Rattus norvegicus: one gene and its partner. The protein of the gene in region 1 purifies or fractionates together with the protein of each later gene. This does not show direct contact. Links are inferred from orthologs where the notes say so. Each region holds a gene or a part of one and is shown on either strand. Other genes may lie near its edges.

What was found. The genes of interacting proteins can lie anywhere in the genome.
Region 2: the proteins of Ube2r2 (region 1) and Fbxw11 purify together in Homo sapiens (affinity purification with mass spectrometry; 4 studies listed by BioGRID and IntAct, with this or other methods). This does not show direct contact. The link is inferred for Rattus norvegicus from reciprocal best matches to the Homo sapiens genes UBE2R2 and FBXW11.

What each region holds. Positions count from the first base shown.
Region 1 is NC_086023.1:61,081,305-61,085,356, forward strand, and holds the start of Ube2r2 (ubiquitin-conjugating enzyme E2 R2), read left to right. Parts: upstream 1-1,247; 5' UTR 1,248-1,422; coding exon 1,423-1,599; intron 1,600-1,740; exon of another isoform or gene 1,741-1,945; intron 1,946-1,989; exon of another isoform or gene 1,990-4,052. UniProt on the Homo sapiens protein: E2 ubiquitin-conjugating enzyme that accepts ubiquitin from an E1 ubiquitin-activating protein, and catalyzes its covalent attachment to other proteins by an E3 ubiquitin-protein ligase complex.
Region 2 is NC_086028.1:17,735,774-17,739,999, forward strand, and holds the start of Fbxw11 (F-box/WD repeat-containing protein 11), read left to right. Parts: upstream 1-1,423; 5' UTR 1,424-1,567; coding exon 1,568-1,612; intron 1,613-4,226.

The sequences.
Region 1 (4,052 bases):
AAGACTGTGTCTTCCTAGCCATGCGTCCAGGTAGATCCACAGCCTTCTGTTTTTAGAGACAGGGTCTCACAACATAGTACTGACTGGCAAGGAACTACTTAAGTAGACCAGGTCGGCCTCATATTGATCATTTTGCTTTTGTTCCTTTCCAAGCGCACACCAGGCCGACATCAATATTTTGCAAAGAAGTAAACCAAGGTGTAGCCAGCACTCTTCCCCAAATCTCATATAGACCCCGTAATCAGGTTCAATATTAGTATTCTACGCTTTCTACACAACCTATTCTCGGTAAAAGGAAGCAGGAGCTAGCCTGCTTTTCTCCAGCCCTCCTTTGGGAGACTGCCTTCCCTGAGACTTGTCTAGGGGCTCGATCTGCAGGAGACGCAACCTAATGAAGCACTACTAAATGTAAGGACCACAGCCTGGGTGTCACCGAGGGGAGCCCGCAGAGGACCAGGGCTCCTCATAGGAAGGCTGCGGAGGCCAGGGGACACACAGGGCGATAGCGCCGAGAGCCTAAGGAACTGAGGTTCCTTCCGGGACACGCCTCTGGAACCGCGGCGTCCAGCCGCACAACCGTCACTTAGGGCCCAAAGCGATCCTCTGCGACCCGCCCTTGATCCCCACCTCCGCTTGGCTCTTTAAGGGTGGGGGACACGCGCAGGCGTCACAAAGCGCAGCCACCGTGGGGCCTGGCGGGGGAGAAGCGAGCAGGCGGGAGCAAGAGCAGGAGCAGAGTAGAGCAGAGCACAGCGAGGAGGGCGGGGGGAGGGAGGGGCGCGCGCACGCGCACCGGGCCGCTGCCGCTGCGAGCCGCCCCCCTCCCGGCGCGCGCCCCTCCTCCTCCTCTCCCTCCCTCCCTCCCTCCTTCTCTGCTCTGTCGCTCCCGCGGCGCGAGGCGCTCTCGCTCTCCTTCTCCGCCCCTCCCCCTGCGCAGCCGCCGCCGCCGCCGCCGCCGTCCCGAGACCCCAGCGCACGGCGCGCCCTCCCTCGTGCGCCCCTCCGGCCCCCGCGGAGAACGAGAGGGCAAGCGAGCACGGCGATCCCGGGCCGGCTCGGCCCCCCTGTCTTCACCATCGCCTGCCCTCCGCCGCCTTCCTTCGCTTCCACCTCCACTCCCCCCCCCACAAGTAGAGGCCCCCTCCGGGGGGGGGGGAGGCCCGGGGCCCGGAGCGGATTCCCCCAACTCCCTTAGGCCCGCCCCCGCCCGGCCCGAGTGTGAGGAGGGCCCGGGCCGGCCCGCGTCGTGAGTGAGGAGGACCCCGGGCGGGCCCGCGGGCCGTCTGGGGCCTGGTCCGGCCCCGCCAGGCGTGTGAGGACAGGGGCCCGGCCCGGCCCGAGGGCGAGCGGAGGGGAGGGGCCTGGTCCGGCCCGGCCGGTGCGCGAGGACTGGGGCCGCGGCCCCGCACGGCCGCCGCCGCGATGGCCCAGCAGCAGATGACCAGCTCGCAAAAAGCCCTGATGCTTGAGCTGAAATCCCTGCAGGAGGAACCGGTGGAGGGCTTCCGGATCACCCTGGTGGATGAGTCCGACCTCTACAACTGGGAGGTGGCCATCTTCGGACCCCCTAACACCCTCTACGAAGGCGGCTACTTCAAGGTACCGCCACCCTTTCCCGGCCCAGCTTCCCCTGTCTCCGCTTTCCGCCGCTGGCCCGGAGCGTGAGCTCTGGGGAGCCGAGGGGGCTCCTCACCTCGCATCCCCCTCCCCCATCCGTAGAGGCAGGAAGGCCTTGCTCACCAAGTGCCTTTTCTTTGTCATGGGGCGGGGGCGGGAGGCCAGACTGCACCGGGAAATAGGAAAGCCTCTGTGGCTGGGGTAGTGGCTACCGGGAAGGAGGGTTGCCTTTGTTTTGTTTCTCCAGCTGAGGGGTGTGTGGAAATAGAGATGGTCTATCTTCTCTTTCTCGATCCATCCGAGCCTTCTCTGCGCAGGCTGGAACTGCCCCAGAGGGCAGGGTGACCTGCACTTATTGGATTGGACTTTTCTCTTTTTTTGGGGGGGTGGTGTGGGGGAGGAATATTAGTCTGTCATTTCCTATGTGGCTGGTGCCCTGACATTTGGAGGATTTGTTGGTCTTGGGTAGTGGTAGTTCAACTTTTGCTTACTGTAGGTGGTAATAAGGAAGAGGACCCTGGGGGTGGCCAAAAAAGGGAGGGTGGTGTGCTGGCGTTGTCTTTCTGTTCATCCGCTTGAGGGGACTTCAGTTTAGTCCTCTTTTTTGCCCTCGTTTTCCCATTTACTTTATAGTCAGTCTCTGCTGTTGCCAAAATGCCCTTTGTCCTTTCCTACCGAGTTTACTAGCAACCCCCCACCCCCCATGTACAAACATCCACAAAGGGTGGAACACGTCAGGCAGATGGATAGTTTCCCACTTTAGGGAGACAAGATTAAAAGCTTTTCCTTAGGTGGTTGTTAGCTCCAGCAAATGGGGTCGTCCCACAGATGAGCCGCATCCGAGGTGACAGGGTTTCTCGTGGTGGAGTGGTTCCTTAGGCAGCCACTATATAGACATTGTTTCTATTGTTTTCCATGAATTATTCCTGAGTTCAGTACTTGGAGATACTGAGTTGTTTTTTTTTTTTTTTTGTCTTGATTTGACTGAAGCGTTTTTTGTTTGTTTGTTTGTTTGTTTTGGGAGGGTAGAATCCCTGAGTGAAGATGGAGTAGGGGTAGAGACAGAGGAAATGGGTGTTTAGGAACCCATTTATTTTTTTATTTTATTTTATTTTATTTTTTTTTTTTTTTGGTTCTTTTTTTCGGAGCTGGGGACCGAACCCAGGGCCTTGCGCTTCCTAGGTAAGCACTCTACCACTGAGCTAAATCCCCAGCCCCAGGAACCCATTTATTATTTTATTTCCAAAATTAGGTAAAATAGGCCAATGAGTCAATTTTAGTTTGTTTTGAAGGGAGGGGTTATCTTGGCACAAGTTTTAAACGAATATCTTAGTCATGTAGTTGTGATGTGTATTTTTAGGACTACCCAATTACTTAACTCTTATTTTCTACCGTTCAAAAGCCTCAAGTTTCAGGCTTTAAACTGGGTCAACTTTGTTGAAAATAGGATTGATAGGGAATGCTTAACATTCGTGCATGTGATAGTTGCTGAATACTTAGTAAAAGGACATTTTTAGAGTGTTATGTAAGAGTGTGGTATCCTTACCAACTGTTTGCTTCATCTTTTGTGGTCAGCATGCAGCTATGCTTTTTAGATGCAGGTGCTTAAAGTGACTAAGTGAAGGTTCAAGTTTATTCGTGAAAGATTGGAAGGTATTGTTCCATGTTGAGGTGTGTTATATGCACTGTCAGATACAAGTTTTAATTTGTAGATATTGGGAATATTGCACAAAGTGGAGTTCATGAGACATTTCCTAGAAAACATCTTCAAAGCAGACTACTGATTAATTTTAAAGAATACAGTTGTTTATTTGTTTTTTGCTTTTTTTTTTTTCTTTCGACAGGGTTTCTCTTTGTAACCCTGGCTGACCTGGACCTTGTTCTGTAGACCAGGCTGGCCTTGAACTCACATAGATCACCCTATCACCCTGCCCCTGCCTTCCAAATTCTGGGATTAAAGTGCCACTGGGCTTAAGGATACAGTTTAATTTCCAAAAAGTAGTATTTCTGGAACAATTGATAGTTAAGTAAATGGTAGTTAATCTCCTATTGGAATTTGTTTTTAAAAAGCTTTGAAGGTAAGACTTCCCTTTGCTAATGATTTGGAATTGATAAAATGGGAATATTCCTTGTAGCATATACTAATTTAAGGTAAAGCCAGGCAGTGGTGGCTCACATCTCTAATCTCAGCACTCTGGAGGCAAAAGCAATTGGATCTTTGAGTTTGAGGCCAGCCTGGTCTACAGAGCCAGTTCCAGAATAGCCAGGGCTACACAGAGAGACCCTGTTTCAAACAGCAGCAGCAGCAGCAGCAGCAGCAGCAGCAACAATAATAAAATACTTTGGGCTAGGACTGTAGGTTAGAGGCAGAATATCTGCCTAGCTTGCATGATGCTCTGTTTTTTAAACTCCAGCAACACACATACAACAAAATA
Region 2 (4,226 bases), on another chromosome or scaffold:
CTTTGGAAATGGGAAGAGTTCTAAGTCATCCACTTTACAGGGGCAAAGAATTGAAACACACTTGAGAAGCAGGAAAGCTTCTCAAGTCACTGCTACTGTGAAGTGGGTTGGGTACAATGAGCCAGGCCCTCGAGATACACGATAATAGCCAGAGCTTGGTTTCTACAGCCAGATCTCCAGTAAAACATAAACAACTTCACAGACCATTAACATTAGACAAGGCCACAGAACGGCCTTATCTTATGGATCAAGACAAAAACAAGACCACTCCATAATTACTCGTGAACACAGATAAAACATGAACATTGTCTAAGCCCCTGACACACGGCTACAAGAGGCTGTCATCAATTACTGGATTAGTTTCAATCTAATATAACTTCCCATAGATAAGGTGTCCAACCTTATTACCCCCACTTCCTGGCAGTATGCGCTCCAGAGCCCCTTCAAATCCTTTTCTACATTACCTAATGTCTCTTACTGAGACGTCCATGATTCATCGTGGTGCATGTTCTCTTCTAGTTCAGCTAAAATAAACCCACCTTGTTTAACTACAGCGTATTCCTGGGGGTTTTTGGTTTGAGGGTACTGACAACTTGGAGGGCACACAGAGTTAAGAGGAAGAGTTCACTGGAAGTCTCTAGATGTGTTTCTTCACAGCATTTCTAACTCTTGGTGAATGTCTGCTGTCTTCCCATTAGAATTAAGCTTCACGAGAACAGAGGTCTCGCCTGTCATTTCCAGAGCTTAGGGCAGTACTAGTAGCAACGGAATGCTTAAAAATGTCTTCAAAATGATCAGCTTCTTTCTCATGGCTCAGCTACTTCCAGTGTAGCAGCTCTCCATACATCTGTTTCCCAACTCAAGCCTCCAAACTTTTCCTCTTGAGATGTCCATCTTCCCTTGGTTGGATCTTCGGGCTCACAGACCCCTCCCACACCTCCTGGTGCAACCTCGGACCCACCTGTCTCCACCATCTGTCCCTACCAAGTGTAATACACCGGGCGGCCGCGCAAGCACCTAGACGACCAGTGGGCACTGCAGACAACTACTGCGCATGTGCGGAAATCGGTCGCACCGCAAAGATCTCAGACAAGTGAGGAGTTGCCTCGGAGTTTCCGTCCGGGTCCGGGCAGCCACCCGCTGCCAGGAAGTCTGGAACGACCAACCGGAAGGAGACCGCGCGCGCGAGGATTTCTGGGACAAGTAGTCGCGGCGCTCGCGAGGCCCTATCCCGAGCAAGTCCTAGATACTCCAGATCTGCATGTCCCCGCACTCCCAGCCCTGCCCTCCCCTAGGTGCTCTCTCCCGTGGCGGAACCCTGGCAGAGTGGCCCGACGGCTTCTTGTTCCCATAAGGCTTAGCGATCCGCCGCGGTTGTTGGGAGTTGTAGTCTTCGCCGTGCGTCCTGCGTCCGCCGAGGGGGAGGGCGGAGCTGCCGGCGGCCCGGGCGGGCTGGCAGCTAGAGTGGGTGCCAGAGCTGCCTCCGCCGCCGCCGCTGCCACCGCCTCCTCCGCCCGGGCCGTTCGCTGCTGAGCGGAGAGAGCGAGGCGGGGCCGCCGGGGCCGCCATGGAGCCCGACTCGGTGATTGAAGACAAGACCATCGAGCTCATGGTGAGTGCGGCCCGCTGGCCTTCAGTTCTTCCGGCCGGCCGGCGGCCCGGGGGCCTGCCCACCTCGGCGTCCGCGCCAGGCCAGCCCTCGTTCCCCGTCGCCTGGGCCCGGCCGGCCCCCTGCTACGGCTCGCTGCTGACGCCTCGCGCTCTTGGGCCGGCCCGGCCTCCGCTCCCCGCGAACTCCCCCACCCCCTCCCCGCTCCTTGCCGGGCTCCGACCAGTCTCGGGCGCCCCTGCCTCGCTCCTGCCGGAGCCACCGCTCACTCTCGCCTTGCCATCACACTGTCTTTTTAGAAGGGGATTTCTTTTTCCCTTCCCTGGATTCCTCTGCCAGGCCTGCATCGCGCTTCCCAGCCCCGCTCAAGCCGAGGGTGATGGTGGTGGGAGGTTGTCCGAGACCAGTTGGAGCCGCTTCGGCCTCCGTAACCTAGGCTTAGGGGGTGGGGTGGCGGTGGGTCTCAGCACCCTCACCCCAAGCTACCGCTGTGTGGATGCCAGGATAGGCCCTTCAGGACTGGGATGTTGGGCATGCCCACGAGTCTGAGGCTGTAGGGGATAAGGGGCCTCTTTTCCGAGCCCCTGCGGTGTCAGGCTTCTTGGACAAAGGGTTTCCTACCCTGCCGTGAAGGATGTTTGTATAGCAGGGCCCTAGGTACTCAGAATTCCATCCCCCAGAAAAGGAAAACCATAACTTTATCATTTGGGAAATGAGAGGGGAGGGAGAAGAGGTCGCCTTCATCACTGCCACCCTCTTTTCTTTTAATAATAAAAAGCGGGACGGTGTGTGTGTGGGGGTGTTCTTGACCCACCGAGAAGCAGCGATCCCTTTACTGTTAGAAACCCTTGGTAGCCAGGTTGGTCAGGTCTTCCCGGACACCCCTAACCCATTTCTGACCTCAGACTTGGTGCTAGAAAGGTTTTTGGAAACAGGGCTGTGAGTGAATGGCTGGGAAAGTGAAGGATTTGCTTATTGGTGGAAGAAATAAAGTATGGCTGGTAGTACCTGCCAGTTTGAACGTGAGGGAAATCAAACTGGGCCCAGGAGAGTTGGGGACATAAGAAAGGCTTCTTCCTGTGAAAACCTTGACAGTTTCTTTGTATCTCTACTAATATCGTAACAACTAGTATCTGCCGCACAGTACTGAGGAAAGGTGAACGATCTACTGAACTTAGCAATGTGTTTTCCTCGTCAGAGTTTCTCCAGTGTGAAATGCTTATTGAGTCAGTGATTCCACTGGGTAGGGTTGGTGACATCAGAGCCACTTCCCCCATTTAGTGCTATAAATAATAAATGGTGATACTGAAAGTCTGTTGGATAGCCCATGGTTTTTGTGGATGATGTTGTCCAGGGAGCTAAGGTACACGTTTAAAATGGAAGTAATAGTAGCATAACTACAGAGTCTCATGTCTGCTGGACTCAGCACAATGTGCAGAACTGGATGGTTGAAAAATCAAACCTGGAAGTTTCTGGGGTGTGTGTGTGTGTGTGTGTGTGTGTGTGTGTGTGTGTGTGTTCACAGGGATTCTGTCACTTTATCTTCAGGTTCTGAGGACCTTTTTTCTTTTTCAGCATCCAATTGTCGGTTGTAACAGTTTGGGAAACTTTAGTAGTCCGTTATTTTGACAAAATGTCTTTAAAACGTGCCTTATGTATTAATGTGAATTCACACGTGCACCACAGTGGGCCTGTGGAGGTCAGAGGACCATGTTGTAAAGATTCTCTTCTGCTTTTACCTGGGTTCTGGGACTTGAACTCATTTCGTTCTGCATGTATGATCACGTGTCTTTGGTTGAGCCATCCTGATGACCTCTTTTTTGGCAAAGTGTCAAAGTATCTTCATGTATGAAGATACATGTTCCATCTTCTTAAAGACAAAACAGTATATCTGCTTTCATAATGACCAGTGCTTCATATGAAACATATTCACTTAAAACAACCAAAATGTCTTCTTTTTCAGGAGAGTTAGAAGAAATACAGTGTAATTAACCTCAGGCATGGTCTTTTAGCATATGACTAAAGAAATATTCTGGCCCACACTTACTGGTTTTCTAAGCTTATAACTGTTTTGTTTTGAGTAACTGTTAAGGTGCTGGGGTGCACCTTAGTGGTAGAGCACATGCTTCCTTAGTGTCCATAAAATCCTCATGGCTGGGTTAGACTGTGTGATATTGTTTGCCCTTACATTGAAGAGATGTCACCTAATGAAGACATAAAAGGGATTTAATGTAGGATTCTTAGAAATGTAATAAAAAAATGTGCCAGGCATGGTGGCACATGCTTTTAATCCCAGTTCTCAGGAAGCAGAGACAGGTGAATCTCTGTGAGTTAGTCAGCCTGGTCTACAAAGTGAGTTCCAGGACAACCAGAACTACACAGAGAAACCCTGTCTCTCAAAACCTAAACAAATAAATGAAATCCCCCAAACCAACCAAAACAAAGACCAAACAAACAAAAAAACCACAACCAACCAAAAGTCAGTCTCAAACCCCCTAAAGATTGTAGTGCCGAGGCCTGCATTGCTGGATCTGATTTACTGTCTATGCGTATGGCTCGTTGCTTGAGTCATTTATAAGGTGTGCAGCTACAGTTTTTCCAAATCGTTGGTACCTGT